Linked DNA regions of Notamacropus eugenii. The protein of the gene in region 1 purifies or fractionates together with the protein of each later gene. This does not show direct contact. Links are inferred from orthologs where the notes say so. Each region holds a gene or a part of one and is shown in the gene's direction. Other genes may lie near its edges.

Region 1 (7,460 bases):
CCTCCACCTCACATTTGTACAGGGTTTATAATTTTTCCAAAAGCATTTACACTACAAGATTAGCTTAGTTTTATCCCCACAACATCTTTTTGAAGTCCAATGGTCACATACTTAATGAAAGTGTAAGGCTGGGGGGAGAGGGTTTGGTTTAAGGGTTAAGTGTCTTTTCTAAGGCATATCTGGAACTAGAATCAAGATCTCAATCCAAGATCTTTTTGTCATTTCATGAACATATTTTGCATATGAGGTGTTCCCAGTTTCTATCCCAGTTCTAGGAACTAGGCAGGGTGCAGGTACAATTTTATTCTCATTTTAAAGTTTTGCAAAAAGAAAATCTTAAGTCCCAGGATTTAGGAGCGAAAAGGCCTCTGAGGCTGCCAACATAAAAAACCAAGGAGCAAAGAGGGAAATTACTTGCCCAGATTCCAGCTAATCAGTGGAAGAGCTTGAATCTTACCTCAGGCCCTCGCTGCAAAGACTGCTCTTTCAAAATGGGATTCTAAACCTTGCATGACAAGTGAAGGGAGAAAAAGGCCAGAGGCTAAATCTGCACCCCCCTATCCACCCAAACCCCAGCCCCTTTGCCCCATTATCTGTGCTTCTGGATTCCCCCCACAAACAAGTCACAGCTGGCAGTTTAGCAGAGATAAGAGCCCAAGCAATCACCATTCTGAATAGGGGGAAATGTGAGATACTGACAAGAGGCCTCCCCGCCCCCGCATTCTAACCAGGATTTCCTATTTTAAGAACTCCCCAAAGCAAAGGGTCAACAGAAGGGCTTCTCGTTGCACCAAGTGCAAACCTTAAGTTACTGCTTTCCTTCTAAGCTGCTGAATGGCATAGTCCCATAAATAAAAGTGCCACAGGAAGGCTAACAGAGAACAGAAAACTAAGGGTCATCTCATTACTCATCAACAGTCACAGCCATATGTGTAGAATTATCTTCTTTTATAACAAACATGCTGGGCAGGGCCTATTGATCCTCACACATTGGGCCCAAGGAAGTACAAGTCTGGAAGAGAATTATAGGATAATCCCCAAAGCAAATACATATCTCCAATTCCATCAGTCTCAAGTGTTTAAGGTTCAGCTCTGCTACATATAGGAGGCAATCAGGAAAATTAATTACCTTCCTATCAGTCACCTAAGTTTTTAACAAGTGGGGGCACACCATTTAATTACCTCATTGACATGGACATAAATTTGTCTAAGGATAGCAGGGGTCAGTCAAAAGTAATTTTTGTTGCATGGAAGGACATCATACAGTGGAATGAAAGGGAGGGTGCTTATGGAATTGTTCTCATGAAGAACTCTATCCATCTCAAGGATGAGTGGCAAAGAAAGGTCATGGGGAAGGGAGGGACTAGGGGAGCTCTTTGAAATGTGGGGGAACAGGTCACAATTTAAACTGTGTCACAGAGTGAGGCTTCAGATATGTTACTGGAATGACAAGTATTTACCATGATTTCAGACCTTCGCCCAAAAAAAAAAAAAAAAGACCATCTCCTCCACACATACCCCTTTTACCATGTTGCAAACATTGTCCCCTTTGTGACCTTCCCCTAAGAACCTACTGTACCAGCTCAGGCTAGTTAGATAAATTATATTACACTTGTGTACATCCTGTGTCTCCATCTCAATACCCAAGCCCTGTTCCCCACCCCACGCCCCACAAAAAGGGAAGTTTCCTGATGGCAAGAACCATTGCATTGCTGTCTTTCTATCTTCCAGCATCTAGGGAGCAGACAGTGCGTGCTTAATAAGTATTTGCCTTAGTAAAGCTACTTGTGAAGTATAGAAGCTGTCTGGATAGGAGAAGTATTTGTGTTACATCCTAAGTCTCAGTTTTTCCTTTTCCACAAAATAAAGGGGTCAAACTAGATGGCCTCCAAGATCCCTTTAAGCTTGAAATATAAGTTCTCCTAAAGCCAATGCCTGCCCTCAAACAGGTTGTCAATTGGCCGAAACTTCACATGAACAAGATACTAAAACTAAACACCAGATCGATAGTACAGGGAATAAATGCATAAAAGGTTCAGAACAGGAAGGGGAAGATCACTTCTAACTTGGGAAGATGGAAAATCCAGGAATGCTTCACATGGATTATGGATGGGCAGAACATGGTGGAGGTGGGCTAAAGGCACAAGACTGGGGGAGAGGAGGGACAGTTACAGAGCAGGAGACAGGCAAAGGAGGCCTGTACAGCCTGGGTACCACATTACAGAACGTGGACTTGATCCTGCTGGCAATGGTCAGCTGCTGAAGGGCTGTGAGCAGCACTTGGACAAGATCCAGTGGTACCGAAGAATGTGACTGGAGAGTGTGCAGGATGGTTTGGGAAATCCAAGGGGTTTAAGAAGCTGAATCCTGAAAATGGGAAGCTATTTTGGTACCAAGGTAAAAATGGTCTGGACAACTTGGGTGACCGTGGGACTGCCCACATTTAGGGGCAAAGTGGAGCCAGGAAAAGGAAGAAAGGTCAGACAAAATGAACACAACTCGGTGGAAGGGATGAGTTTTCCAAGAGAGGCTGGTCAACATCAAATGCTGTTGAGAGTAAGGGGCTGAAGACTGAGAAAATAAGGAATGTGGTGTTCAGACCGTTGGAAGCCCCCAAGTGTGCACGGTGGAGAGGAAAACCTACCCTTTTAGTTTTAAAACTGAAGTCTTTCTCAAACCGTTCCATAAAAACACATTTCTGGAAAAAAGGTGCCCCTGAAATCAGGTTCGGTGACCCACCTTTGGTATCAGAAAACTCTCGTTACAAAACCGGCTGCGAAACCCCCTTTTACACAAAGAAAAACTGGCAACTGTGAGACCTGCTTTCTACACGGAGCTCTAGGAGGAACGTGAACAAGGGCGTCATCCTCTCGGGCCTCAGTTTCCTCGTCAGGAAAATGGGCAGGAGGATCTCGCAGAATTTGATCCTGTGATTTCTGGAAGGTCCCCGAGGCACTCTCAGGGACCAGGCGCCCAAGACCCGACCTCTTCCCGGCGCAGGCACCGAAGCCGGGGAGTTTGGTTAAAAAAATAAGGAGTTCAAGACTTCCTGAGTCCGGCCGGGGCTCCCCAGGACTAGCAGCTTCCTAGACGGCTCCGGCCGGGCCCCGGCAGCCCGCTTCGGCCCCTGCGCCGAGGAGCCGAGTCGCCCGAGCCGCCGCCCTCCACGCCCGGTCCGCGCCGCAGCAGTCCCGAACGTTTCCTGGCCCGGCCCGGCGGCCTCCGCCACTTTCCAGTCGGGCAGAGCCGGGCTCGGAGCTCGCTCGGGGCTGCCCGGACCGGCCACCGCCTCCTCCCCCCACCTCCCCGGCTCCCCGTCCCGCAGGGCGCTTCCTCCTCCCGAGCCCAGCCCGGGCAGGGACCGGAGCCACGGCGGGGGGCAGAGGCGGGCAAGCCGGCGCCCGCGGTCCTCACCTGCTCGCTTGCGGGGGTGTCCCGACGCTGACGGCCTGTCTCCGCGCTGTCTCCCCACGCAGTTGCCCATGGCCGCGGCTCAGCCCGGCCCCATGCACGGGCGGCGGCGAGCGGGCAGCCCCTCCGATGCCCCGAGCGGGTCCCGGGCCACTCCGGACTCAACTGCTCCTGCCGTTCTGCATCAGTCGTTGTCCCCTCGCTCTCCGGGGCACGCTCAGCCCCCGCCGCCGGCTCCGCCACAAACTTTGCGGGAGAGCGGGCGGGAGGGCGGCTCCCTCAGCGCTCAAGAGCCCGCCCCAGGTGGTCGGGCCAGGGGGGCTGGGGCCGGGAGCGGCCAGGAGAAGAGGCCGGAGAGAGAGAGGAGGGGCGGGCACCGCGGCCAAGGCCACTCAGACCTAGCTCCGCGATCTCCTCGGAGTCCGTCCCCGGACACTGTCACTCACCTGCAAAGCCCCGCCCCGGCCGGGCCCCGCCCGGCTCTGGCTCCGCCCCCGACCCAGGTGAGCATGTGACCGTCGGCCCCGCCCCGCTGCCCGGGCCCAGCTCTCTCATTGGGTTCCCCCGAGGGGGGCGTCCCAGCCGGGCCCCACCCAGTCAGGTATCCGCCCGGTCTCCCCGAAAGTCTGCTTCGTTAGTCGTCTAGGGTGGTGTGCCGTCCTACCTACTCTACGAACCAGCTGAGTCCCCGGGCAGCTGACCCTTCCCCTCCGACACGGGGCCTTTTTCTCTCTCTCCCCGGGACGGTCCGGCCGGGAAGGGGGCAAACACGTGACCTAGGCAACCCTCCCTCTCCCGCTTTCTCGCCACGTGATTGGTCGGAGTGCGCATGCGCGAAGCTGCCCCGGCGCTGCCGTGGGGCTGTCTCCTCCATCTCTTACCCCTCCTCCTCTTCCCAATTTCCGATCATGGCCGCGGCCTCTGAGGAGGCGCTGGCCCCGGCGGGCGCCCTGGGTGGCCTCGTCCAGGACTTTGTGGTCGGGCAGCAGGACGGCCCGGCGGCCGAGGTGGCGGCAGGTACATCCGCGCTGCAAGCTGCGGGGAGGGAGCAGCCGCCGCCCCTGGCGCCGGCGGGCAGGGAAGGAGGCGACGGTTGGGGTGGGCCTGGGGACGGAAGCCGACTAGGGCCGAGCCGTCGGGACGGGAAAAGGGGCCACGACGGAGCAGTGCCGGGGCGGAGGAGGAGAAGGAGGTGTGGGCTCGGGAGATCCGGCGCGTGGCGTGGCGTGGGCAGGCGGGAGCAGGGAGCCACGTGGGCTCCGGAAGCTGGCTCGGGCCTTGGGTGCATGATGGAGAGGAAGAAGGGTGGTGGAAGGCGACACTAGTTCTGGGGGTCCCCGAGGGCCTCCCCGGCCCTGCCTGGGCGCTTCCCGTGGGCCCCCCTCCCTGTATCGCGCTCTTCCGCGGGGCTTTCAACCCTCCCGAAACTTTGTCTTGTCTCGTCCACGCACGTTTGCGTTCGGATTCTTGGATAGGAGGCTGAGGCAGGGCTCCTTTAGACAGAAATCTTCCTAGAGAGTTAGGCAGGGTTACAGGGCCCCCCGATCCCGTGCTAAATAGTAAATAACGTAATTTATTAATAACGAGCTTGTGGAGGGGAGGAGGTTGTCCACTAAGAGTTTTGGGTTTGACAGTTTTACCAGTCTGTAAAAAACAGCCTAACTTTCTGGAAGAAGTAGACTCCTTGGTGGAAGGGGACTGTGTCATTTTGGGGTTTAAAAGAAAACAACCCAGTACTTTGCACAGTGCCTGGCCCTCAGCATCGATTAGGCTCTTCTGTAGTATTGCCTGGCTCGTCATTGATTAGGAAAGCTGTGATCACTTCGGAGGGGGAGGCCTTAAAAGAGAGGATGTACCATTTGCTTATTTGTGACCCCTCAAATTTATGAATACTGAAAACCAGGTGTTTGACTTTTAGAGACAGAGGAACAGTGTTTGAGAAGAAATTTGGATAGGGACCAGATCATAAAATAAAATTGATAAAGGTAAATTTGGTGTACCTTGAATGATAGTGCATAGCTTTCACATTTTAATAAAACCCGTTAAATTACTAAACCCCTAAAAGTTATCCTTTTTAGCTAAACTCTGTCCAGCTAGCCCAATTGTGATTGTCCACTGCTCTAGGTACCACGTTTAACACTGTCTCTTTGTTCTAAACAAAGTTCCCTTCGTTAAATTAATCCTGGGTGGCCCTTGTCTTTAGTGTCTTTGGCAGGCTGGCTTTGTATACAGTGCTCTACATTTACTGTCTCCTTCTGGGCTTTATTCAACTGTATCACTTATCTCTGACCTTATACTATTCATTTAAACCCCTCTGAGTTTCAGTTCCCGTATATATAAAATGGGGATAATACCTCAATGTTCTAGTGAACAACTTGCTTTGAAAACTTGGGTGCTATATAAATGTAAGCTGTTATTATAATCTGTAGATATCTACTTGTTCTTTCTCCTAAATTCCTTGCACAAGTTATGAGGTGGGGTCACTATCCATGAGCTTAATCTTTTGGGGGGATATTATAAGTAAGCCAGTTAAAGAATAATATAAGAATATAATACTTATCAGGGCTGCTAGGTGGCGCAGTGGATATACTGTGTTGCACCTGAAGTCAGAAAGACTCATCTTCATTGAGTTCAAATCTGACCTTAGACACTTAATAGCTGTGTAATGCTGGGCAAGTCACTTAACCCTGTTTGCCTCAGTTACTTCATCTGTAAAATGAGCTGAAAAGTAAATGGCAAACCACTCCAATATCTGTGCCAAGAGAACCCAAAATGTCACTCACAGAGAGTCGGACGGACACAACAGAAGTGACTGGACTCAATAATTGCATTAAATTGTGAGGTTATGACAGTAAAGTTTTAGAGAAGGGGCAAAATCAACTTGGGCTTACAGACTTTTCCAGTTTAGCCACTGCACGTGATTGTGGCAGTCTGACTTGAGCCCATCCTAGTAAAATGAATGGGATTTCAGTAGTCCCAGGTGAATGAATGAAAAAGGTTTTGATAAGTTTTTACTAGCACTCTGCTAAATGCTGGAGTATATTACAAAGGTTACGATTGCTCCTGCCTTCTGGGAACTTACCTTTTTGTTTGGGAGACTGCATCCTAGAGCTGAGGATATTTCTAAGTTAGGTGAATGAACAAAAGCTTAGAGGTGATAGAGTGTAGACATTAACCTGACCTAACTCTAGAGTTGCTTTTGGTTGGGGTGAGTAGTTTAAGATAAAATTCTGTTACAATAGGGCTGGATTGTGAGGAGGAGGTCTTAAATGTATTTAGACTTTAGAAGTCTATACGAAAAGCTACCAATAAGCAAATCTCCTGACTTTTATGCTACTCCTGGTGAAGGAGGGGATGAGAATGAATACATTTTACTGAACTGGGGATGCAAAAGGCAAATAATAGTCCCTGCTTTGCAGGAGTTCACAGTCTACTGGAGAGTACACCATGTAAATAACTGAATGTAAGCAAGATCTACACCGGATAAGTTGGAGAAAATCCCAGAGGGAGGGGGAAAAGGACACAACTTGGAATTTAAATCCTGATTTTTTTATATGACCATGAGAATGTAAGCTCCTCGAGGGCAGGAACTTTTCTTTCTGTCTTTATATCCCTAGTACATTAATTGTATTGTGGTTGTTTGTGGGGGTTTTGGGCGATTTTTAATAACCCACAGCTTTTTCATTATCTTTTTAATGTTATAGAAACAAATCTTCACTAGAGTTTGAGTGAAAAAAGGTTGAGAGCTATCCTACACACCACCTCCAAATTAATCTTTTTAAAAATCTTGTTTTCATCATCTTGTGTTTGAATCTTCAGTGGTTTCCCATTGCATATAAAATAAATTTAATATAACAAATATTAGATGCTTATTGTGCTGGACACTGGTGATTCAGAAGCAAAAACAAAATGCTACTTTCAAGCAGTTTATGTTCTACTTAGGGGAGAGGAATATAACACACGTAGGTAAGTGCATTCAAAAATATTTCAAGAAAGAGCATTACAACACTAGCAACTGAAGGGGAGAGATCAGGGGAGACTTCCTGTGG
Region 2 (8,004 bases), on another chromosome or scaffold:
CCACCAATCTGGGGGACTTATTCAAGAATTCAGAGATGGAGCCTTCTAAAGAGAGGAAAGAATTTCCCGATGTAGCCTCAGAGAAAATTCACATAGTTCCTAAACAATGTCCTACTTAACAAAGCCAATAAGTTTACTCAGACAGTACAACACCAATATGAAAAGGTTTCATATTCAGCTGTCCCTTCAGGGGAATTCTTTTTCTCAGAATCACTATAATTCTGGCAGGAATTCTGTGTGAAAGAGGAAATCATGAGAGTGTAAGGAGGTGATGATGAATTATTTGAGTGTTTTGTATGTTTTTGTATTCTCTTATGAGTTCCTGTGAGTTTTTGCATCTTTTTAATTTTCTAGGAATTTTTTTTAAACTGTCCTCATATGCACTTGACGGCTAAGTTTACATGGGAGCTAGAAACCCACTTTTGAGGGGAGATTTCCTGAACAAATTTTAGCAATAAGGAGTGAGTCAAAGAGAGAAAAACTGACCCTCCTGGGGTCAGCTTCCAGGATTGGACCCACTTTGTGTGAACCTGAAGTTATTAAAGGAAATTAAGGGGAGAGCCTGGGACATGGGACATAGAGACAATTAAATCTACGAAGAGTTGATGAGATCATTAAGGGAAGAGAATATAAAGAAGGGTGCCCAGGACATGGTCTTGGAGAACAACTACACTTAGGAGGAAGAAAGAGGATGATTATCCAACAAAGCAGAAGAAAAGATCAAACAGAAGAAAAACAATGAGGAGAGTGTGGTGTCACAGAAGAAAAGAAAAGATGGCATTTCCAGAAAGGTTTGATCTAGATGAGGGGTTCTTAACTTGGGTTCCAAATACCCCTCAGGTGGTACTTGGAATCTATTTGCATAGATTTCAAGAGGGGATCTATGAACTTGGGACTTTTAATAATTTTGATAATCATATTATATAATAATTGATTTCTTTGTAATCCTATGTATTTTATTTTATTTCATACATTTAAAAACATTTATTCTGAAAAGAGCTCTAATAGGCTTCACTAGACTGCCAAAGGGACCCTGGACACTAAAATGGTTAAGAACCCCCAATCAACACAGGGCTTCCAATGTTGCAAAGAAACAGAATGAAGAATGAGAAAAGGTTACTGGATTTAGCAGTTGATAACTTTGGAGACAGCTATTGATCTTGGAAGAATGACAAGGGCTTTTCAAATGCTGCCAAATCCTGACTATCTTAAACAATCCTAGCTGTGGAAGTCCAGCAAAAGGAGAATCCTGGGACTACTTCTGGAAACCAGATTTTCAGGCTACTTACAAAAACTATGTAACCTATGTCAACCATTATAGTTTGTTCTAAGAAACAAACAAAATTAGGCTGCAAGGTGTCAACCTGAAAATTTGGTTAAAGGAGGCAAACAGGCTAGGTGATAAGTAAATCTATATTGTTTGTTCCCTTAAAGCTAGTCTAAGCTAGCTAGCTTGTACATACAAAGTGCCAGAGTCTAAGTTCTGACTGTCTGATGAAAGAATGACCATGCTTAAATGTGTTTTAGAACAATTCCAACTCAGCATGTTTGTGTCACTTAAATTTATGATCTCCATATATGATTAGCCGTATTATGACAAAGGAATTTTCTTAATTGAATAGATGGTAAATACAAAAGATAAGAGAGTTGATAAAGTGTCCATTGAAATTATAACCTAGGATATCTGTGTTTTCTTTACCATTAACATGTCATAACATAGTATGCATCCATAAAATATTAAGATAAGAAAAGGTCTCATTATTCAAGATAGTGTCTCAGGTGAAGGGTCTCATCCTTAATGGTTGTAAACAGAGGAAAGAATGCTCTTAAGTCAGTCCCATCTGGCCAAGGTCAAGTTGACATAGGAGAGGTATTCTCAGAGAACAAAGAAGCTGTTAGTTCCAGGCTCTTCTTCTGGTTGATTAGTTCAGGCTCTGTCGCTTATTGAGGTTATTAAATTGATATTAAATGATTATCAATGGGCAAGCTGATTTCTCTCAAAGCTGGCAAATCATGCATATAGAGATATACATGAGAGTTCGTTGTGAAAATGAGTCCAAGGAAGAATGGAAAAGGGGGACCTTATATCTTCAGAGCAATTTAATTTCCTCTCACTCCTCCCTCCCTTCCCTGCTCAAGATACCTGTGTCAGACAAAATTATAGTCTCCATATGTGTTAACCATAATATGAAAAAGGAATTTCTTAGTAGGATAGATTGCCCATACAATAATATTAAAGAAGGGTCAAAATGTCAATTAAAATTCCAGTCCAAAATGTCTGTGTTTCTTCTATCATCAACATGATATAATATAACAATGTAATTTAATATAACATAATGAAATATAATATAATGTAACATAATATATGTCCATAAACTGCCAAGATAAGAAAAGTGCCATTATTCAAGATAGCATCCCATTCAAGGTGAGTTGTCCTTGGCAGTCAGGAATGTTTCTGGACAGTTTCATCCAGCCTTGTAGTTATTGACACAGGAAGGAGCATTTTAGGTTCACTCAGAGAGCTGATCAAAGCATGTCTGCTATGCTACAGCCCGAAAAGCATTATGGTAGGTTAAGTTCAAAGTGGGCCAAAAAATGCTTTTCTCCTGATTGGTCAATCCAGGTTTTAGGCCTTTCTCAGCTGGGGGGCTCGGGGGTCAAGGAGGTTTGGGGAGGTCTCTGGCTAGTTCACACCTAGGTACTTCTCTGAATGGGAGAAATCAATGAGTAGATGAAGTTCTGCTGACTGAAAGGGAAGTCTGACTTGTGATCTGTGGATAAAATGCGCTCGACTTTCTTCCAACCCCATAAAGGTAAATTATTAGAACAAAAATGGGGATGCCACATCTTCTCCCAACTCCTTGTGAATGCATCCATCCCTCTCTCTTTTTTTTTTAACAGAAAGAAATTTATTGGGAATATTTTGAGAATACATTTGAAAGAATAGGTCAATGTTTTCCAGCAAGGTAGGGAGTAGGGATGCTCATTCACTTCAACCAGAGCAAAGGAAGCCCCATTCAACCCTCTCTACACCTTCTCTGAACATGTTGACATTCTCTCATTGCCCTTCTGGCAGGCAGAACTTCAGCACCTTCTCCAGTATTTCCTCCTGCCAGAGACATGCTCAGACTCACAAAAGCTTTCTCACCTTTGGACATTTTCCTTCAAGATTTGGATCAAATACTTAAGAAATTAGGGCTTTTCCTCGGGGTGTGATAGAGACCTGACTTGGAAGAGCCAATCGCTAAATTTTCATTGCAAGAATTTGCACCCTGAAAATCAGCAAGCTACAAATTGGGGGTTGATTTATTGTTTGGGGGTGGGTGGGAATCAAAGAAGGCTTTGTAAAGGAGGGAGTAATTAAGTTGAACCTTGAAGGAAAATATCCCTCACCAAAGCAATTGCTGCTTTTTCTCAAGGTGTGCTGGAGACTCACGAAAGTCAACTGCTAAATTTTCATTGTGAGAATTTTACACCTCAGAAATCAGCAAGCTACCAGTTAGCTTAATTTACTATTTTGTTTATGACCAAGACTCTAGATTTAAGAACGTGATAGCTTACACAGTAACAGCCATGTTGTTCAGTGACTGACTTTGATAGACTTAGCTCTTCTCAGCAAAGCAAGGACTGAAAACATCTGCAAAAGACTCATGATGGAAAATACCATCCACATCCAGAGAAAGAAATATAGAATCTGAACGCAGATAGAAGCATACTATTTACTCCCTGTTTTGTTTTGTTCTTTCTTTCTCATGGTTCCTCCCATTCGTTCTAATTCTTCTATACAATATTACGAATGTGAATAATAAGAAGTTTTTTAATAAGAAGGTACGTACATGTAGAGCCTATATGAAAGCCTATGCCTGCCTTAGGGAGGGTGGAAGGGAGGGAGGCAGAGAAAATTTAAAACTTATGGAAGTGAATGTTGAAACCTAAAAATAAATTAATTTTAAAAAAAAGAAATTGAAAACAAGAATGCTGGATTTGCAAGAAAGTAATGGAGAAAATGTTAATAATACAGATTTAACTTAAAAGTGTGTCCAGCATACAACCCTTTCCCCTATCCCAGTCAACTGTGAAACATTTACCAGCACTTTTACCCTGTCTGCCTCTCCTCCAGTTTTGTATTTATTCTTGTGCTGTATCTTCCCATACAACACGGGTCGCTTAAAGGCTGGGATTATTTGCTTTCCCTCTTGGTATCCCTAGCGCTTAAGTTGCTTCCTTGCACACAGCAGGTGCATAATAAATGTTGGATGACTGCGGACGATCTCCCTTCCTGTCTCGTTCAAACTCACTTCAAAGGTCAGTCAGTCAGGCTAATGCTTCTCTTTCTTTTAACTAAGAATTATCCCTTAATTTAATTTAACATTCATTGTTTAATGAATTCCAAATGCTCTCCCTCTTTTCGGCCCCTCCCCCGCCCAGGTAAGACATATGCTATCAATTATACATGGGAAATCATGCAAAGCATATTTCCATATTCAGGTTAAGGATTCCTGTAATTCACTTCTCTCCTCAGTGACCGGATGGGGCGGGACTGCGTGATCTTCAACGTCTTCCGGCCTCTAACGAGTCTCTCCAGTTCCCTATGGAGGATACAGAAGTAAATCAGTACTTCCTTCTTCCTTCTCGCGCGCCTGAGCACAAAGTGCTCTCTCCAGTTTACAGTGCCCTATCGAAGAACTACACGTCCCAGAAGGCCCCGCGAAAGACCCTTTCCCGTCGCGCCGCGGGCGCGCCTGTGCAGTGACTTAGACTCGGGATTCCCATTTCCCGCCAAACTGTGAGACTGGGGTTTCTCTTGCCGCTAGACAAAATCCCCGAGGCCCATGGCGGCGTTTGACCCCAACGAGCTGCCTGAGCTGCTCAAGCTTTACTACCGGAGGCTCTTTCCCTTCTCCCAGTACTATCGCTGGCTCAATTATGGCGGAGGTGACCGGGGAATGGGCTCCCGGGAGGGGAAAGCAGCTGCGGGAGGGGGCGGGGGGAGGCGTGGAGAGCCTTGGGGGCGCACGGAATAGGAGTGCCGTCCTCTCCAGGTGGGGAGAGTGACCCAGTCACCCCACTTCTGGGGCCTGGCCTCCTTGAGCCCAGCGCCTAGGAAGCGCTTTGTAAGCGTTAGCCATCCTCATCGTCATTGTTACTGTTGAAGCGCTACATAAATATCGGCTATCGCTGTTGAAGCGCTACGTAAAAGTTAACTGTATTCCTTATTGTTGTCAGATTGAAACTCTATGTAAATGGTAGCTCCCATCATCGCCGACATGCTGTGGAAATATTACCCATCATCGTTATTGTTCTTGTTGAAGCGCTGTGTGTAAAAGTTAGCCATCATCTTGGGCCGTTATTGTTACTGTCCAAGAGCTGCATAAGTGTTAGCGATCGTCATTGTGCAAGCAAGCGCTGCATAAGTGTTAGCGATCGTCATTGTGCAAGCAAGCGCTGCATAAGTGTTAGCTATCATTACTGTGCAAGCAAGCGCTGCATAAATGTTAGCTATCGTCATTGTGCAAGCAAGCGCTGCATAAATGTTAGCGATTGTCATTGTGCAAGCAAGCGCTGCATAAATGTTAGCGATTGTCATTGTGCAAGCAAGCGCTGCATAAGTGTTAGCGATCGTCATTGTGCAAGCAAGCGCTTCATAAATGTTAGCGATTGTCATTGTGCAAGCAAGCGCTGCATAAATGTTAGCTATCGTCATTGTGCAAGCAAGCGCTGCATAAGTGTTAGCGATCGTCATTGTGCAAGCAAGCGCTGCATAAGTGTTAGCTATCATTACTGTGCAAGCAAGCGCTGCATAAATGTTAGCTATCGTCATTGTGCAAGCAAGCGCTGCATAAATGTTAGCGATTGTCATTGTGCAAGCAAGCGCTGCATAAGTGTTAGCTATCATTACTGTGCAAGCAAGCGCTGCATAAATGTTAGCTATCGTCATTGTGCAAGCAAGCGCTGCATAAATGTTAGCGATTGTCATTGTGCAAGCAAGCACTGCATAAGTGTTAGCTATCGTCATTGTACAAGCAAGCGCTGCATAAGTGTTAGCTATCATTACTGTGCAAGCAAGCGCTGCATAAATGTTAGCTATCGTCATTGTGCAAGCAAGCGCTGCATAAGTGTTAGCTATCGTCATTGTACAAGCAAGCGCTGCATAAGTGTTAGCTATCATTACTGTGCAAGCAAGCGCTGCATAAGTGTTAGCTATCGTCATTGTGCAAGCAAGCGCTGCATAAATGTTAGCGATTGTCATTGTGCAAGCAAGCGCTGCATAAATGTTAGCTATTGTTACTGTGCAAGCAAGCGCGGCATAAATGTTAGCTATCGTCATTGTGCAAGCAAGCGCTGCATAAATGTTAGCTATCGTCATTGTGCAAGCAAGCGCTGCATAAATGTTAGCTATCGTCATTGTGCAAGCAAGCGCTGCATAAGTGTTAGCTATCATTACTGTGCAAGCAAGCGCTGCATAAATGTTAGCTATCGTCATTGTGCAAGCAAGCGCTGCATAAGTGTTAGCTATCATTACTGTGCAAGCAAGCGCTGCATAAGTGTTAGCTATCATTACTGTGCAAGCAAGCGCTGCATAAGTGTTAGCTATCGTCATTGTGCAAGCAAGCGCTGCATAAGTGTTAGCTATCATTATGGAAGCGCTACATAGATACTAGTTTATCATTATTGTCCAAGTGCTACATAAATATCACCCTTATTGTTATTGAAGTGCTATATAAATATTAGTTATCGTTATTGTCCAAGCGCTGCATAAATGTTTGTTATCATTATTGTGGAAGCGCTCCATAAATCAACTATCGTTTTATTGTTGTTGAAGCGCTATATAAAAGTTATCTTCATTACTGTTGAAATGCTGTGTAAATGTTAGCCATCATCGACATTAATGCTGAAGCGCCATATAAAAGTTATCGCCATGATTGTTGTTGGACTCTGTAAACATCCTCATTACTGTTACTATCAGTGAGGTTAAAGTATTTCAGGCAAGATGAGGAGGAGCCAGGTCTTCTCTGGGGATGGCTCCTCTCCTCTCTTTTCAGTGCTTCCTCTCACCCCTTCCACATCTAAGTTACTTAATGAATTCTGGTTGGATTGCATTAGAGTAAATTTGTTCTGCTTGCTCCAGAGTACTAAACTAGGAGTAATGGGTAAAAGTTGAAGAGGAAGATGAAGCCTGGAATGAAAAGAAAGTATTTCCAAAAGTAATAGCCTTTGAGAAAGCCCTCTTCACTTAAGGCCCTTTTAAGCAAACCCTGGATGAGTACTTGATTGTGTTGTAGACTGGGTTCTTGTTTTAGTTCTGGGTTGGCCCAGATGCCCTCAGAGGTCCCATCCACCTCTGAGATTTTGAGAATTTTTCCCCTCTCCCCTCCCAGTCTTTTGAGTATCACTGCTTAGAGCTAGGGAAAAAGGAAATTAACAATTTGAGCTTTGAAATCCTAGGGCTCTGGGAACCAGGAGACCTGGGTTCTAATCTACCTTCTGCTAGCTCACTGAGAAAATGAGAGGGTTGGCATGGAATTTTGGATCCCTTGATGTTTGATCTATGAATTCTCCAGGATCATAGAGAGCTTCATAGGCCTAGAAGGGAAAAGGACCTTCAAAATCATCTAATTCAACCCTCTAATTTTACAGATGAGAAAACTGAGGCCCAGAGAGGTTTAGTGACTTTCCCAAAGTCAAATGGTTGATCAGGTGAGCCAGGATTTGATCCCAGGTCTCCATATTCAAGGTTCTTTCCACTCTACCAGAAACAAGACTTAACATCTTTATTCCTCTACCTAATACAGCCTATGAAACGGAAATATTAATCCTGAGAAAGCCCCAGAGTGAGGGACTGAAAAGATAGCTTTTTTTTTTAATTTTTTATATCAACCAAAACATTCGAATAAATAATATAAGAATGATTTTACATAAACCATTGCATATGTAATTGATGTAACCCAAGTTATTTGCAATTTGTTTTTAAGTTAGGTGTGTTAATTTTAGCAAATTTTTCCC
Region 3 (8,175 bases), about 280 Mb from region 1:
CATATACTATTGTAGCCAAGAATCCCTTAGGAGAAATGTAGTAGCCCTCATCATCAATAAAAGAGTGAGAAAAGCAGTGCCGGCATTTAATCTCAAAAATGACAGAATGATATCTATCTGAATCCAAGGCAAACCATTTAGCATCTCAGTAATACAAGTCTATGCTCCAACCACTGATGCCAAAGAGGCCCAAGTTCATCAGTTCTATGAAGACTTACAACATCTTCTAAAAATAATGCCCCCCAAAAAGATGGTCACATTTATTATAGGGGATTAGAATGCTGAAGTAGGAAATCAAAGGATAATTGGAACAGCAAGAAAGTTTGGTCTGGAATACAAAATGAAGCAGGGTGGAGACTGTTGACCTGAAAACTTGGTTAGAGAAAAGGCAACATGGCTAAATGCATACATTTTATGATTTAATTAATTAATTGATCAATTCCCTATAAAGAAAACAGTTACATAGCGCTATGGAGTCAGAGGTGACTCTGACTATCTAGTACAGAAATCATCTGTCTTAAGTACATTTTGCCATGAGAAAGAAACTCTCCTAATTAAGCAAATCATAAATTCAGTAAGACAGGACAATTAACAAAGCAATGTTAGTCAGGCCTTGAGATTCCAAGCTGGGTAAGCATATGTCTCAGTGATAAGGAAAGAAACCCCACCACTAGTAAGTGGCAGGCTTCCTCCCTTAAACAGATAATTGACATAGGAAAGGGTAAACAATGTTCAATAGAAATTATGATCTAAGATGTCTATATTTTCTTTATCATTAATACGCCATAACATAGTATATGTCGATAGATCAAAGGAAAGTCCCATTATTCATAACATAGTATGTGTCTATAGATAATAAGATTCATCAAAGGAAAGTCTCATTATTCATCAAAGGAAAGTCTTATTATTCAAGATATAGTGTCTTAGGTTAAAGGTCTCCTTAAGGAGTGTAGAGTCGGCCTTGGCTGGCTTTTGCTGACATAGGAAGAGGCACTCTCTGAGTTTACTTCAGAGAGAACAAAGAGATTATTCCAAAATTTTATATTAAACATTATCAAGACTAATAGAGTTTTTTCAAGAAAATTTGCTGGTAATAGCACATTCTCTTTCAACAACCTAAAAGGTTACTCTCAACATATTACCAGATGATCAATGTTGAAATCAGATCAATTATATATTTTGCAACCAAAGGTGCAGAAGCTCTATATAGTCAGTTAAAACAAGACCTGGAGCTGGCTATGGCTCAGATCATGAGCTTCTTACTCCAAAATTCAGGTGTAAATTGAAGAAAATTAGGGGAAACCATCAGACCAAATACGTATGACCTAAATAACATCTCTTATGAATATGAAGTGAAAGTAATTTATAGTTTTAAGGGATTAGATCTGGTACAGTGTCTGAAGAATTATGGACAGAAGCTTTCAGTATTGTACAGGAGGCAGCAACAAAAAACATTCCAAAGGAAAAGAAGAGCAAGGAAGCAAAATGACTTTGATGAGGCTTTACACGTAGCTGAGAAAAGAAGGAAAGGGAAAGGAGAAAGGGAACTATATACCCAGCTGAATGCAGAATTCCGAAAAATAGGAAGGAGAGATAAGAAGGTTTTCTTAAATGAGCAATGCAAAGAAATAGAAGAAAATAATAGAATGAGAAAGACAAGAGATCTTTTCTAGAAAAAAAGATATCAAGGGAACATTTCATGCAAAAGTGGGTGTGATAAAAGATAAAATGGAAGGGACTTAACAGAAGTAGAACAGATTGAGAAATGGTGGCAAAAATACACAGAAGAACTATACAAGAAAGTTCTTGACATCACCAATAATCATAATGGTGTGGTTATTCATCTAGAGCCAGACATCCTGGAGAGCGAAGTCAAGTGGGCCTTAGGATACAATGCTAACAATAAGGGTAGTGGAGATGTTTAACTATTTAAATTCCTAAATTCCTATTTAGCTATGTAAAATCCTAAAAGGTGATGCTGTTAAAGTGCTACATTCAACATACTAGGAAATTTGGAAAACTCAATGGTGGCCACTGGATTGGAAAAGATCAGTTTATATCCCAATCCTAAAGAAGGACAATAGCAAAGAATGTTCAAAATCACCAGACAATTGTATTCATTTCACAGTCCTGCAAGGTTATGCTTAAGATTCTGCAAGCTAGGCTTTGGCAATACATGAATCAAGAATTACTAGAAGAGCAGGCTGGTTTTCAAAGAGGTACAAGAACTAGAAACCAAATTGCCAACATTTGCTGGATTGTGGAAAAAGCAAGGGAGTTCCATAAAAACATCTACTTCTGCTTCATTGACTACACCAAAGCCTCTGACTGTGTGGATCACCACAAAATGTAGCAAGTCTTCAAAGAGATGCAAATACTAGATCATCTCATTTGTCTGCTCAGGAACCTGTATGTAGGCCAAGAAGCAACACTTAGAACTGAGCATGGAACAGGTTTATGATTGAAAATGGAATATGACAAGGTTATATATTGTGACCTTATTTATTTAAGTTATATGCAGAGTATATCATGTGACCTGCCAGGTTAGGTGAATCAAAAATTTAATTTAATTTAAATTTTAATGGAATTAAATGTGGCTGAGGGAAATATCAGCAAAAATGAATTAAGAAGCCTCTTGATGAGAATGAAAGAGGAAAGTGTAAATAAAAGCTGGATTAAAGCTTAACAAAAAACTAAGATCTTGGAAAGTGGTCCAATAACTTCCTAGCAAATAGGAGAAAAAATTAAAGTAGTGTCAGATTTTATATTCTTGGGCTCAGAAATCACTGCAAATGGCAACTGTAGCCATGAAATTTAGACACTTGCTTCTTGGAAGGAAAGCTATGGCAAATCTGTACAACATTCTAAAAAGCAGTGATATTGATGAGGTTAATGGTGAGGGGAACCCTAAAATACCGACGGTCTGGGTCGTGCTCGAATGAATTCGACTCAAGCCTTCTTAGAACCAAAGAAAACAAAATTTATTAAGGATTCGCCTAATTGGGTTGCCTCTTAAGAGCCTAAGCTTTTGTAACGTTTGTATTCACAAGCGGGCCAGGCACAATCCCAGCTAGACAGAGTCTGAGCTGGATTGCATCTGAGCGCCTTCATGGAGGCAAGGTGGGACTTAAATACAGAAAAGAGTATAGGAGGGATGGGGGGGGGGGGGGGGGGAGGAGATGGTCTGGTAGTTCAGGGTGATGGGAGGAGGGGTTTAGGAAGGGTCTTGAGGAGAAGTCCAAGGAGGGAATCCAAGGAGGGTCAAAGGCTGGAAATAGCTGGAGGCTATCAGGAGATAGCAGACAATGGAGGGTTTGGGTGGGAAGCAGGTGGGGCAATCCAGAGATCTTGATAGGGGCAGTATGGGAATGGGGTTTTGATGGGATCAAGGGTGGGGAGTGCAACAGAGACCTGAAATGATAATGAAAAGCCCATGGGCTTCCTGAGACTTCGGAACAAATGGGAAGATTAGAGTTGAGTAAGCAAGGCCAGATTCTGTGGGGAGATTCAAGGGGAGCTCAAGGAGGCTCCCAGAGTCTGAACCTCATCAATATCACCTTGCTTACAAAGATCTGTAGAGTCAAAACTATGTTTTTTTTCTAGTACTGATGTACAGATGAGAGTTGGATTGTAGGGAAAGTTGAGTGCTTCAGAATCAACACTTTCAGATTATGGTGCTGAAGACTTTTGAGAGTTCCCTGGACATCAAGGAGATCAAATCAGTCAATACTTAAAGAAATTAACTCAGACTATTCACCAGAAGGTCAAATACTGAAACTTAAAAACTCTTGCCACTTAATAAGAAGACAGGAAAAGCCCCTGATATGAAGAAAGATTGAAGGCAAAAGGAAAAGAGGATGGCAGAGGATAAGATGGATAGAGAGTGTTATGGAAACAACAAACATGAACTTGAACAGACTTCAGGAGAGAGTGAAGGATAGAAGGACCTGGTAAGCTATAGTCTATGGGGTCCCAAAGAGGGTGTGGAACTCAACTAATTTTCATAATTGGTGGGCATGTTCAGAAGAGTATACCAAAACGGAGTAATGGGGGTGGGCATGGGGGTGGGGAGCAGGCATCAGATAAATCTTACTCTTATCTGAACCGGACAAAGGTTTTAACACACACACACCTATCACCACCACCACCCCTCCCACACGGATAGCTTGATGTAGAAATAGTGTCCCCAAAGTCTTTGTTCCTGCTTTAAGCAGGGAAACAAGTTGGGATACGGGAAGGAATAACATCAGGAGAAACAAACTTCCTGATCTTCAGGGGGGTAATTTAAAGACAAAAGAAAAAACTTGAACCTAAGGAGTTCCCATTAACTGGTGAATGGCAGAATAAACTGTGAATGTCATGAATATTATATTACATATTTATTATATTTTGTTGTAAGAAATGAGGAAAACTTGAGAAACAGGAACTGATGCAAAGTGATCTGAGGCAAACCTGTAGAACAACTTACACACTGACAACATTTTAAAGAAAAAACACCTTTGAAAGACTTAAATCTGATAAAAGCAATGCAACCCAACCCAAACCACAGAGGTCTTAAGAGAAAGCACTATGGACAAGTGGGGTTGAAGGACTCAAGGTGCAGGAAGTGAAATGGTCCCTGTGTGGGAACTCTTTTGCTTGGTTTATTAAGAGGATTTATTTTTCCTGCTTTTAATTGGGGAAAGAGGTTGGAGAACAGCCATACTGATGCCAAAAAAAAGGGGGAATCATTTAAACAGTTTTAAAAATTCACAGAATACAAAGTAGTTCAGAAGGAAGCACAACGAGGTATTACAGTAATGGGTTGACTTTATTATATGTTAAAAAAGCAATCTCAGTGGAAGAGATTCAGGGCTTCATGCAGAGACCTCTTTTTGTGTTCTACTTTCTTACAGAAATGCTTAAGGGGGGGACGGGACCGTGGGTTTAGCCCAGAAGGTAGGGGGAACAGAGCTACAGTCAACCAGCCCCTGGGCAAACAGCACCCGGACCCAAGGAAAGGCAGGGCTGGACCTCCCTTCCACCCAGCGCAGCCTCAGGCTTACGTCATCACCGCCAGCCCCGAGCATCGCAGGAAGAAGGACGGGCTTTCGACCTGGGATATGACGTAAGTGGCACGTGACAGCTTACGCCACCGCTTCTCTGCTGCCCGGGAAAGTGCAAATTGGGGCACTGCCGAGGCCCGGGAGAGACAAAGAGAGGAGCTTCTGAAGAGCCGTGGTGAGTCCTCCCCGGGATCTGTCCCTCCACTCAGCGGCCCTGTCGGAAGTCAAGGGAGAAGTCCTGGTTTCTGGAGCTAGGAGGATGATCTTTTAGAAAAAACTACAGCTCCCAGCAGGCTGCGCGCTGGCTGGCTTCCCGCTGGGCTACCTGGGAAGGTCGCTCGCGTTTGCCTGGAGCGCTGCTGCCCGGGCACCATTGCCAGCTGGCGTTTTCTTACCCATTTCTTGCTCTTTCCCTTCCTCCTCCCGTAACGAATCTGAGCCCCGCACTGATCACAAACTCTCAGCTGGAAGAGACATCACAATTTTCCTTGGCCTAGGTCGAGATCCCCTCCATAACATATGTTCAGGGCTTCTGCTGAGCTGGAGTACCCTAAAGGTGGGGGTGGGGAGGATCCCCACTACCCCCCCCCCCCCCCCCCCCCCCCGCCCTGTCCCGGCCCATCCCTCTTCTGGGCCAGCTTTAATTGTAATTACAATGGATTGTTTAAGTAGCTTCTCTTGAAGGCCTAAATCTGCCTCTCGGTGGGTGCATGAAAAAGCACTTACTGGGTGCTAAAGACTTGGGGCCTGTGCCAACATCCGGGGTGCAGATACTAAGCCAAGCCACCCCTGTACTCTGGGAGCCCGCATTCTGACTGGGAGCGGTGCGTGGCTTGAGAAGGAAGCCCCCTCAGGCCCCCTGCGGCTGCCTCCTAGTGCTGTCCTCCGGAGCCTAGCAGAACAAGTCTAAATCCTCAGCCACTCCATAGTGAAGGGCCTCAGCGAAGGGACCTTGGCTGTTTTAAAGGTCGTCCAGACTTTGGTGTGCTTTAATCTGTGCTTGAACTTCCGTGTAACGCCCTTGGCAAAAAGCTGGAGGCTCCAGGGTGGAAGTGTAGGACACCTCAGAGGTCATAAAACCTACCCCCTTGCCCCCCACTCTCCTCAGTTTTGTAGAAGCTCTGGGAGGTCAGCTAGCAGAGCAGGGTTTGAGCCCCTGCTCTCGGACCACAATTTCCAGTGCATCAGGTCTCTGACGTCTTGTGTACTCTGTTTGACTTTCCTTCCTCACTTATAACCTAGAGATAGATGTGTGGTAGAGTGGTACTGTTGAAATAATGCCACATTTGGATTCAGGAGATCTGCCCTCCCATTCTGGCTCTGCTATTTACTAATGATTGAGTTTGGGCAGAACAGTTTCCCATCGGTATGATGGGGATAATCATCAATATAGCCTGTCTCATAGAATTGTTGTTAGTAAAGCCTTTGCAAACCCTAAATACAAAAACCTTAGAGCCATTGTAAATGTTAGCTACGGTCTCTCTCCTTTGGGAGGCATCCAATCCCAAACCACATAAACAGTTACATGATAATAGAGTGCTTGGAATACGTCATACCAAGAGAGAAGCGAATTCAACTTATTGTCATTATTATTTACAAAATTGTCATCTGTGTGAACAGAAATGTTCAGAAGTCTGGGATGATTTCGTGAAATTTTAATAATAAATATACTGAATTTCAGGAAATTTGGGAATTGAACTGGACACAGGTAGATATGCCAAAGATAACATTAAATGGAGTTACAGTGGATTTTCCTTTCCAACCATACAAATGTCAAGAAGACTATATGGCTAAAGTCCTGGAGTGCCTGCAAAAGGTAAGACTTCCCTTAGAATTTTTGTTTGAGTCACAAGTTCATGTTAAGGCTATGATTCAAAAAGCACCAGATTTATTACTTATTTCTTACATATTTGTTCCTCCCTTCCACCATGTGTAAGTTCATTTTCTATTTTATTTTAAAATGCTAAACAGCCTGGAATACCAGAATGACAAAAGGAGAAGTGTTTGATTAGTTGAAAGAGTTGCAGATTTGGTTCCCCTTCTCTCCCATTTTATTTATTTATTTTTCTTGGTATCTTTTGTTTTTACAACCCCTTTTCCCAAATGTATCTTTCTTCCCTTTCCCTCCCCTACCCAGTGTAATATCCTTTGTAAACAAAGGTTTAAAAAAAGGGAAAAAAAGAGCTTCAATAAACCCTACAAATGCATCAATCCTGTGGAAGTGTAATATTCCACACATGTAGATGTAGGATCATAGTTCTCTACCTGTAAGGAACTTCAGAGGTTCATCTAGTCCAATTCCAAGCCTCTCTACCTCTGCAGTGATTCAGTCATTCTGTAAGAAGAAACGTCCAATTTTCAACTCTTGTCTCTTTCCTTCTACATTTTAAAGTAGAATAAAGATAATAGGTTCTTTGTGTCCCTGCCATTAAGTTCAGTTCAATAAGTGTTTATTTCTGTTGATTCTCTCCTTTGTGCTTTGTAATACGTGTTAGCTATCTATCTTTGGCTATTTGTTCTTTTTATTTATTTTTAATTTTGTTGTTTTCCACTGATACTTTTTAAAAAAATTCACATTTCTTTTCAAATACTTCCATTCCCACCCCTAACCCATTGAACCATCCTTTGTAGCAAAGATTCAAAAAGAAATGGTGGCAGGGGGTAGAGCAGTTTAAAAACTAATCACCACATCAGTAATTTCTGGCAGATTTTGAAATATTCCTTGTCCATAATTCTCCCATCTGAGGGATTTATTCTGGTTATGATTGATGCTGGAGCTGAGATTCCTGTGTGCTGTTAGCATTTGGCCTGGGTTTTAGCTCTGGTCAGCTGGCTTGTTTCTAACAAAGTGGAGGCTTGGATCCATTTCAGTCCCAACTAAATTCATAGCTTTTGTGGAGCTGTATTCTTAGCCTCTCATTGAATCCAATGATTACAGACATTCATGTAAGAAATTTGTATTTAGGCTTTCAGATAAGGCAACTGTTTGAAAGCCTAAATTCAGAATTGCAAAATTATTTGTTATTTAAGGCATCCCTAGCAAAATATCTTGCTGTAAATTTTAGCTGAAGTACACCATTATAGTATTATTCAGTGATGAGATTGTTAAAACCCAGTGAAGTTGTGATTT
Region 4 (7,490 bases), on another chromosome or scaffold:
TTCTTTACTCCAACTCATGTGACTATTACTTGTAATCATCATTAATGCTTGTGTTTAGTTTTTAAAGCCTTTCACAATTTACCCCTGATCTATGTTTCTGGTCTCACTGCCCTTTCCACCCTCTATGATCCAGCTAAGCTGGCTGTTTCCCATGTCCTCTCTAACCCTTCCCTATGCAGTGGACCATCCCTTCCAAGAAAGCATGAAAGAGAGAGAGAGAGAGAGAGAGAGAGAGAGAGAGAGAGAGAGAGAGAGAGAGAGAGAGAGAGAGAGAAGGAGAGAGAGAAGGGAGAGAGAAGGAGAGAGGGAGGGAGAGAGATGTTTATCAAAACCAATTAGCTAGACAACCATGTTGGACAGTATATACAATATTTTATACCCGTAGTTCCCCATCTTGGTAAACAATCTAAACAAGTTTCAAAGGACAAAACTACACTCAACCACATTGTGTCTCAAGAACAGTGTCAGAGGGTAAAACGACAGTCTTAACTGTGGGTGTACCCTCAAGCTTTGGTCCATAGCCATCTTTCTATGCTTTGTTAATCTTGCTTACTGTTAAAAGAAACATAGGCACATACACCCAAACACCCACTCTTCACATGGTTGTACATTCTGCCTTATGCCTTTGTGTACTATTAGATGAAATCTTCCCCTTACTAGCTAAATCTATCTATGTATCTATCTATCATCTATGTATCTATCTGTCTTTGCTGTGTTAACCACCACCACTGTCAATAATGAAAAGTTTACTACGTGAAACCCAAAAACTTTGGGGAGTCAGGTTGTAATCCTCCTGAGCAATTGTTTTTTATTGTTTGAATCTGCTTTTATCCTGAGAAAAGATACTGATGAGTATTTATTGTTAGTTGCCATCTGGATCTCCTTAATGACAATGGTGAACATCTTTTATGAGTATACACCTTTATAGCTTGATTACTATTAATGATCAGAGGGTTTCCAAAGAGGTTCTCCTTTTTATATATTTCACAGAATCTTGTATAATTTTACCACATGGACAGGAAGTATTTTTGTAGGAGGAGAGCATCTTGTCCCGCTGAATCAAATACTTTTTTATGGTCATCAATATAAAAAAATAATCACTGCGATCTTGTATTTTGTTAATTGGGTGATGGTAAAAAAAAATTGTGGTCTATTTTAGAATCCTCTTTGCAAAAGCTAATCTCTTTCCTTCTAATGAATTCCCTCATTAGTGAATTTGTATAGGTTTTAAAAGTGAGCATGTCTGGGAAGCTACTAGTGTTTTTTGTTGTTGTTGTTGTTGTACTAATAAAGTTTGAGATTTATTTTTTTCAGTTTTGACATTTTCTCCTCCTTCAGATAGCTTGAGAATCAATCCTTAACACCTTCAAAACTGTGTCACTTCCAACACAGACTTCCTCTTTATATCTTTGGTCTAGTAGTTATTTTTTTTCAGTTTTTGTTTTCTTTAGTGCTCTTTCTATTTCCTCATACAGCACATTCCCAGCTATGATGTTACAACCAGAATACATTGTCCTTGATGGAGAAAGAGTTTGTTATAAAAAAAATTGCAGATCTTTCTCACAGAGTTGTGTGGCACTCCTTAGATCTTATCTTTTGCTTCTATGATTCTAATTTTTTAAAAATTTGATTTTTTATTGACATTGTTGGTTTTTATGTCATCTTAATTTATTAATATATTCATTCCCTTTCACTACCTAGTGGGCCATCCTTCCTAACAAAGCATGAGAGGGAAAAAAATTCATCAAAACAAACCAACTTGTTAAATCTCAATATCTATATGAAACAGATTTTAACTGAAGAAACAACAACCACCAAAAAAACCCAAACACAAATGCAAAGCAAACTAAGAATATATTTTCAAGCTATGTGGACTTCATAAGAGCTGTGTGCCTGAAGTTGCTTTGGTAGGGAGGACACAAAGGATGAAAAGAGATACTCCACCTCCAGAGTCCATGGATCCTAGGAAAAGAAAAGGGTAACAGCAATCTCAAATGAGTTGAAGGATCATTGATTTAGAAGGTGCTGAGGAGGTAACTTTGACATCAAGTCCAGTTCTCTCATTTTACAGAGGAAGAACTGAAGCCCTCATTGCCCAAGGTTAAACAGGTAGAAAGTAGCCCCTCATCCAGTCCAGGACTGGGATTTCAACCCTGATCTTTTGATTCCAAATCCAGCTTTTCCCACTGTATCTGCCATCACAGTCAGGCCCTGAAGAATCTCTTCTTTTGCTCTCTATGTTTAGGGTTCTGCAGCAGCCAGTGACCATCCTCACCTTGAGGCCGAAATCTAGAGTTATTCTGATGCTCCAAGAGCTGACAAAAACTTTAGGGAATCTTAAAAAAAAGTGATACTGATGAATGAATTTTTCCTTCTCTCTGGTTGGACCTAATCAAGCTCATATGTTCACACTTGGGTCAATTTCTGGCCAGGCCACAAACTCTTATCCCTGCAGGGCTCCATCAGTGCTAGGGTTGCAGTCAACCCTCAACACCCCTTACCTCTCTTTAACATCTCATCTTTCAACATCTCTTTACCTCGATGCACATCCCAGTTTCCATTATAAAGAACCGATACTTCCCCCATCAATCAAGCAATCAGTGTTTATGATCACTTTTTTTGATTTTTTTGAGCACTTACAAAGGCAAAAGCTGTCCCTGCTCTCAAAGAGGTCACAGTCTAAGAGGAGAGATAACATGCAAACCGCCATGTATGAATGATATATTTAGGCTGAATTGGAGATAATCTCAGGGGAAAGACTGCTAGCCTCCTTAATGCTAGTGCCCCGTCTCTAAGAGGTATCTTGAATTTATCTTGTAACATATCTTATTTGTAAAAGGTTTCTTGCTAAAAGTGGGATTTTATTAATTAATTTATTTGTTTTCAGTTTTCTATAATCACTTCCATAAATCTTAAGATTTTCTCCCCCTTTGTCCCTCCTTCTTCCTGACTCCCCCCGCCTCCCCAGACTGCATGCATTCTTATATGGGTTCTACACATCCATTCTTACTAAATACATTTTCAACTTAGTCATGTTGCATGGAAGAATTAAAACAAATGGGAGAAACCATGAGAAAAACCAAATCAAAACAAAACACAAGAGAAAATAGTCTGCTTCATTCTGCAATCCAATTCCATAATTTTCTGTGGATGTGGATGACATTTGCCTCAAGAGTCCACTGGGAATTTTTTAGATCCTTGCATCGCACTGCAGTACTAAGTCTGCCAGAAAAATTCCTCCCACACTGTGGTTGTTGTTGTATACAAAGTTCTCCTGGTTCTGCTCCTTTCACTCAGCATCAGTTCCTGTAAGTCCTTCCAGGCCTCTCTGACATCTTCCTGTTCATCATTTCTTATGCCACAACAGTATTCCATTACATTCATGTACCATAATTTATTCAGCCGTTCCCCAGTTGATAGGCATCCCCTTGATTTCCAGTTCTTGACCGCCACAAAGAGAGCTGCTATAAATACTTTTGTACATGTGGGACCCTTTCCCATTTCTATGATCTAGAAGCACTAGTGCTGGGTCAAAGGGTATGCACATTTTTGTGACCCTTTGGGCATAGTTCCAAACCACTCTCCAGGATGGTTGGATGAGCTCACATCTCCACCAACAATGAATCAGTGTTCCAACTCTCCCACATCCTCTCCAGCATTGGCCGTCTTGTTGTTCTGCCGCCTTAGCCAGCCTGATAGATGTGATGTGGCACCTCAGAGTGGTTTTGGTTTGGGACTCTCTAATCAGTAGTGATTTAGAGCATTTTTTCATAGGACGACAGATAACTTTAATTCCTTCCTCTGAACCCTGCCTGTTTATATCCTTTGACCATTTATCAACTGGGATGAAGGTGGGATTTCAGAGGCGACAGGAGGAAACCAGGAAAAAATAAAAACAAAAATCCAAACCAAACAATCTGTCCCTCCCTTCAGAGAGCGGACAGCCTGACGGGTACAGAGGCGTATACAAATCAGAACACACTAGATAGATTGTAGAATAAATGGGTGCGTCCTTGGAGTAAGTGAACCCCGCTTCCGGGATGCCACCACAGAAGAACCAGCCCGAGCCTGGGGGACCTGGAACTTCAGGGGCGGGGCGGAAGGACGGCGGAAGCAGGGCGGGGCTCCGGGAGCTAGGGGGCGGGGCGCCAGGCATGAGGGGCGGGGCCAGCCCAGAGGGGGCGGGCCTGGCCTGGCCCTGGGGGCGGGGCCAGTCCGGGGGCGGGACCGGCGCGAGTGGTGACGACTTCCGCCTCCATCCGAAATCTCCCGCCTTTGAGAAGCGCTGAGTCCTGGTTCTGAAGGGAAGGGGTCCCGGCACGTTTAGGGCACTTGGGGCTGCCGCAGGTAACAGCTTCGCGTGAGGGTCTTGGGACGCGTTTCCTCTTTCCACCCTGTGAGTAGGTTGGCTTTGTTTCCCCGGGTCCGGGGAGTCCCGGAGTGTGTGCCGGGTCCCTGCTTCCCCTTGCGGGGACTGGGCTTGAGAAGCGGGGCTGGTACTGGGGGGCCTGGGGGGAGAGGGAGAAGCTTGTGCCGGGTGAGTGGTGCCTGGGGGGCGGCGCGCTTCGCCTCCCTGGGAGCTCCACGTCTGGGAAGGTCGAGCTCTGGAATCTCCATGCTTGCGTCCCTCCCCATCCTGTACCCCCCCCCCCCCCCTTTACCCTCTGGGGGCCATTGAGAGTAGCAGGACCTCCGTCCGGGTAGGGAGGGCTTGAAAACCGGGGGTGTGGCGCCCGGAGCCACGGCGTGACTGGGTCGGGTCACAGGCAGCAAGTGTGGCCGGGAGGGCTGCGCTTGAGATCCGGTGAGGCCATGGTTTGAACACCACCTTCTGCACTTAATAGCAGATCACTTAACCTTTGCTAAGTCAGTTTTCTCGTGGGGCTAATCCCGATTGTAGTGTCCCCTCTTTCTCAGTCGTTCTGGATCCTTTCTGACCTCACTTGGGGTTTTCTTGGCAAAGACACTGGAATGGTTTGGCACGTCCTTCTCCAGCTCGTGTTAGAGAGGAGGAAAGTGGGGCAGATTGGGTTCAATGACCTGTCTGGGATCACACAGCTAGGAAGTGTCCGAGGCCACATTCGAACTTGGGAAGATAGGTCTTCCTGACCTTAGGTCTGACACCATCCACCGGGCCATGGTGGTTCAGACAGAGTGAGAAGTGACTGCGTCTCTTTATCAATTTATATACAGTGGCAGCATGAACCAAGAAGCAGTTGTGTCTCTCCATTTATATACCGTTCTTTCATGATCTATTTAACAATTGGATTTTACATATGTCGTGTTTAATTGTTTAGATTTGACCTTGCACTTTTAACGTGACTAGGTATTGGATTGTTTATCCCTGTCAAAGGTAATATATGGTCAAAACGACTTGTAAGTCTGTTCCCTTAGCTGAATAAAGTAAAAATACCTATGATTGTGGCCAAGCCATTTAACTTTTCAGTGGCCAGCTGTTCTGTGTAGGTGGAACAAGATTTCCAACCCAGAGTTCTCCACACTAATGAAAGCACATTTCGAGACTGAAAAAAAAGAGAAAAGAAAAGGAAAAAGGCACCTGTTTCATAAAGTTGTATGTAAAGCAGTTTGCAAGATGGTATAAATGTTAAATGTCATTGATTGGCACAGATTTTTTAAGTGAAATTGATGGGCCACTGCACTCCTCTTTGTCCTCCTACTCCTCATAATAAACATATATGTCTGTAGTTCTGTAAGGTGTATAGTGTATTTTTCTTACAACAGCTCTGTTAGGCAGATAGTATAAGTGTTGATAATAGCCAACATTTACTTAGGGACTACTATGTGCCAGGCACTGGAATAAGTACTTTACAACTATTATCTTATTCGATGCTCGTAACTACTCTGGGAGGGAGCTGCTATTATTATCCTCATTTTACAGTTCAGGAAACTGAGGCAGAAAGAAGTTAAATGACTTTCTCAGGGTCACACAGCTAGTAAGTATCTGATTGGATTTGAATTCAGTCCAAGGGAGAGCTGATGATCACCTGAACTAAGGTGACAGCTTGGAGATGGATAAGAAACATGGTGTGGAGGTTATCAACAAGCAATCATCATGAGACATATGTGAAAACCAGGCTTATTACAAGAGAAATGAACGTGCATGTGGAACCCAAAGAGTTCAAGTCTTTACAGAATGTATAATTGGTAGAATTCCTTACTCTGAGACCAGTAACACATACCTCTTAACATGTATGTTGGTGAAAATTAGGAACGCTCCTCAAGTGGGCAAAGTTGAAAGCTGTCTTGCTATATTTTCAACTAATCTTTATTTATTTATTTATTTATTGCTTAAGTAACAAAGATGCAGTTTTCTGGATCAAGGAGAAAGAAACTGAGTCTGGCAGGGGACCAGAGAGGTGCTTCCTATCCTCATAGCCTTCAGTTCTACCTACAACCTCCTTCTGAAAACATATCTTTGGCAGAGTTTGAGAATCTAGCTATTGAAAGGCTTAAACGTGAGTGATATTTTACATTGTAACTGTTTAAGCAAGGTAACTTTGTATGTTTAAGTAAGGTAATTTTGGATCACTCATTTCTTTGAAATTCAGGTACATGTTAGCCCTGAATTCTAATTTACCACAACTGTTGACTTGAAGTGGGTTCTGAAATGGTTAGTACTGTTGGGAAGGATAGATAAGTTACTTCCTTTCTTTGTTTTTTGAATTTTAAATAATATTTTATTTTTTTCCCAATTGTACATAAAAACACTTTTTAACATTTTTTTTAAATTTTGAGTTTCAAATTCTCTCCTTCTCTCCCCTTCCCCCTCCTTGAGAGGGTAAGCAATTTGATGTAGCTTATTCATGTGCAGTCCTACAAAAGAAATCCCTATATTAATCATATTGTGGAAGAAAACACAAAAACAACACCAAAAATAAAGAAAGCAAAAAAAAAAAGAAACCCAACATGCTTGGATCTTCAGACTCCATCAGTCTTTCTCTGGAGGTGGATGGCGTTTTTAATCTTGAATCCTTTGGAATTGTCTCGGATTATTCTGTTGCTGAGAATAAATTAGGATCATTGTAGTACGTTGCTGTTACTGTGTACCATGTTCTCCTGATTCTGATCACTTCAGGATAAGTTACTTTCAAAGAGCCATTGATTGCTAAGTGTAACAGTTTCTTCATGGCAATCATTTTGATGACTTGGTGTCTATATTTCTGCATTACCATGGTATATCAGTTTATGTAGCTATGGGAAATTCTATTTGCTTCTGACGTCTAATTTATGCCTCAGAAATGAAGTACTCTACCTATTCCAGAATACAATTTGGTACTATATCCCCAAAGCTATTAAACTGTGTTTACTCTTTGACCCAGAGGTAGTACTACTAGATCTCTACCCCCAAAGAGATGAAAGAAGAAAAGGACATCATGTATAAAAATTATTTATAGTAGCTCTTTTATGGTGGAGAATAGCTGAATATGTTATAGTGTGTGAATTTGATGAAATACTATTGTATAAAGAGT

What was found.
Region 2: the proteins of MMS19 (region 1) and PRIM1 purify together in Homo sapiens (affinity purification with western blotting; 3 studies listed by BioGRID and IntAct, with this or other methods). This does not show direct contact. The link is inferred for Notamacropus eugenii from reciprocal best matches to the Homo sapiens genes MMS19 and PRIM1.
Region 3: the proteins of MMS19 (region 1) and RTEL1 purify together in Homo sapiens (affinity purification with western blotting; 4 studies listed by BioGRID and IntAct, with this or other methods). This does not show direct contact. The link is inferred for Notamacropus eugenii from reciprocal best matches to the Homo sapiens genes MMS19 and RTEL1.
Region 4: the proteins of MMS19 (region 1) and PRIM2 purify together in Homo sapiens (affinity purification with western blotting; 5 studies listed by BioGRID and IntAct, with this or other methods). This does not show direct contact. The link is inferred for Notamacropus eugenii from reciprocal best matches to the Homo sapiens genes MMS19 and PRIM2.

Annotation. Positions count from the first base shown.
Region 1 is NC_092872.1:214,294,134-214,301,593, reverse strand, and holds the start of MMS19 (MMS19 nucleotide excision repair protein homolog), read left to right. Parts: upstream 1-4,091; 5' UTR 4,092-4,319; coding exon 4,320-4,428; intron 4,429-7,460. UniProt on the Homo sapiens protein: Key component of the cytosolic iron-sulfur protein assembly (CIA) complex, a multiprotein complex that mediates the incorporation of iron-sulfur cluster into apoproteins specifically involved in DNA metabolism and genomic integrity.
Region 2 is NC_092874.1:232,033,882-232,041,885, reverse strand, and holds the start of PRIM1 (DNA primase small subunit), read left to right. Parts: upstream 1-4,697; 5' UTR 4,698-4,832; coding exon 4,833-4,935; intron 4,936-8,004. UniProt on the Homo sapiens protein: Catalytic subunit of the DNA primase complex and component of the DNA polymerase alpha complex (also known as the alpha DNA polymerase-primase complex - primosome/replisome) which play an essential role in the initiation of DNA synthesis.
Region 3 is NC_092872.1:496,918,625-496,926,799, reverse strand, and holds the start of RTEL1 (regulator of telomere elongation helicase 1), read left to right. Parts: upstream 1-5,084; 5' UTR 5,085-5,220; exon of another isoform or gene 5,221-5,259; intron 5,260-5,440; exon of another isoform or gene 5,441-5,601; intron 5,602-5,771; exon of another isoform or gene 5,772-5,988; intron 5,989-6,726; 5' UTR 6,727-6,759; coding exon 6,760-6,861; intron 6,862-8,175. UniProt on the Homo sapiens protein: A probable ATP-dependent DNA helicase implicated in telomere-length regulation, DNA repair and the maintenance of genomic stability. Acts as an anti-recombinase to counteract toxic recombination and limit crossover during meiosis.
Region 4 is NC_092873.1:125,584,153-125,591,642, forward strand, and holds the start of PRIM2 (DNA primase large subunit), read left to right. Parts: upstream 1-4,183; 5' UTR 4,184-4,347; exon of another isoform or gene 4,348-4,396; intron 4,397-6,314; 5' UTR 6,315-6,322; coding exon 6,323-6,476; intron 6,477-7,490. UniProt on the Homo sapiens protein: Regulatory subunit of the DNA primase complex and component of the DNA polymerase alpha complex (also known as the alpha DNA polymerase-primase complex) which play an essential role in the initiation of DNA synthesis.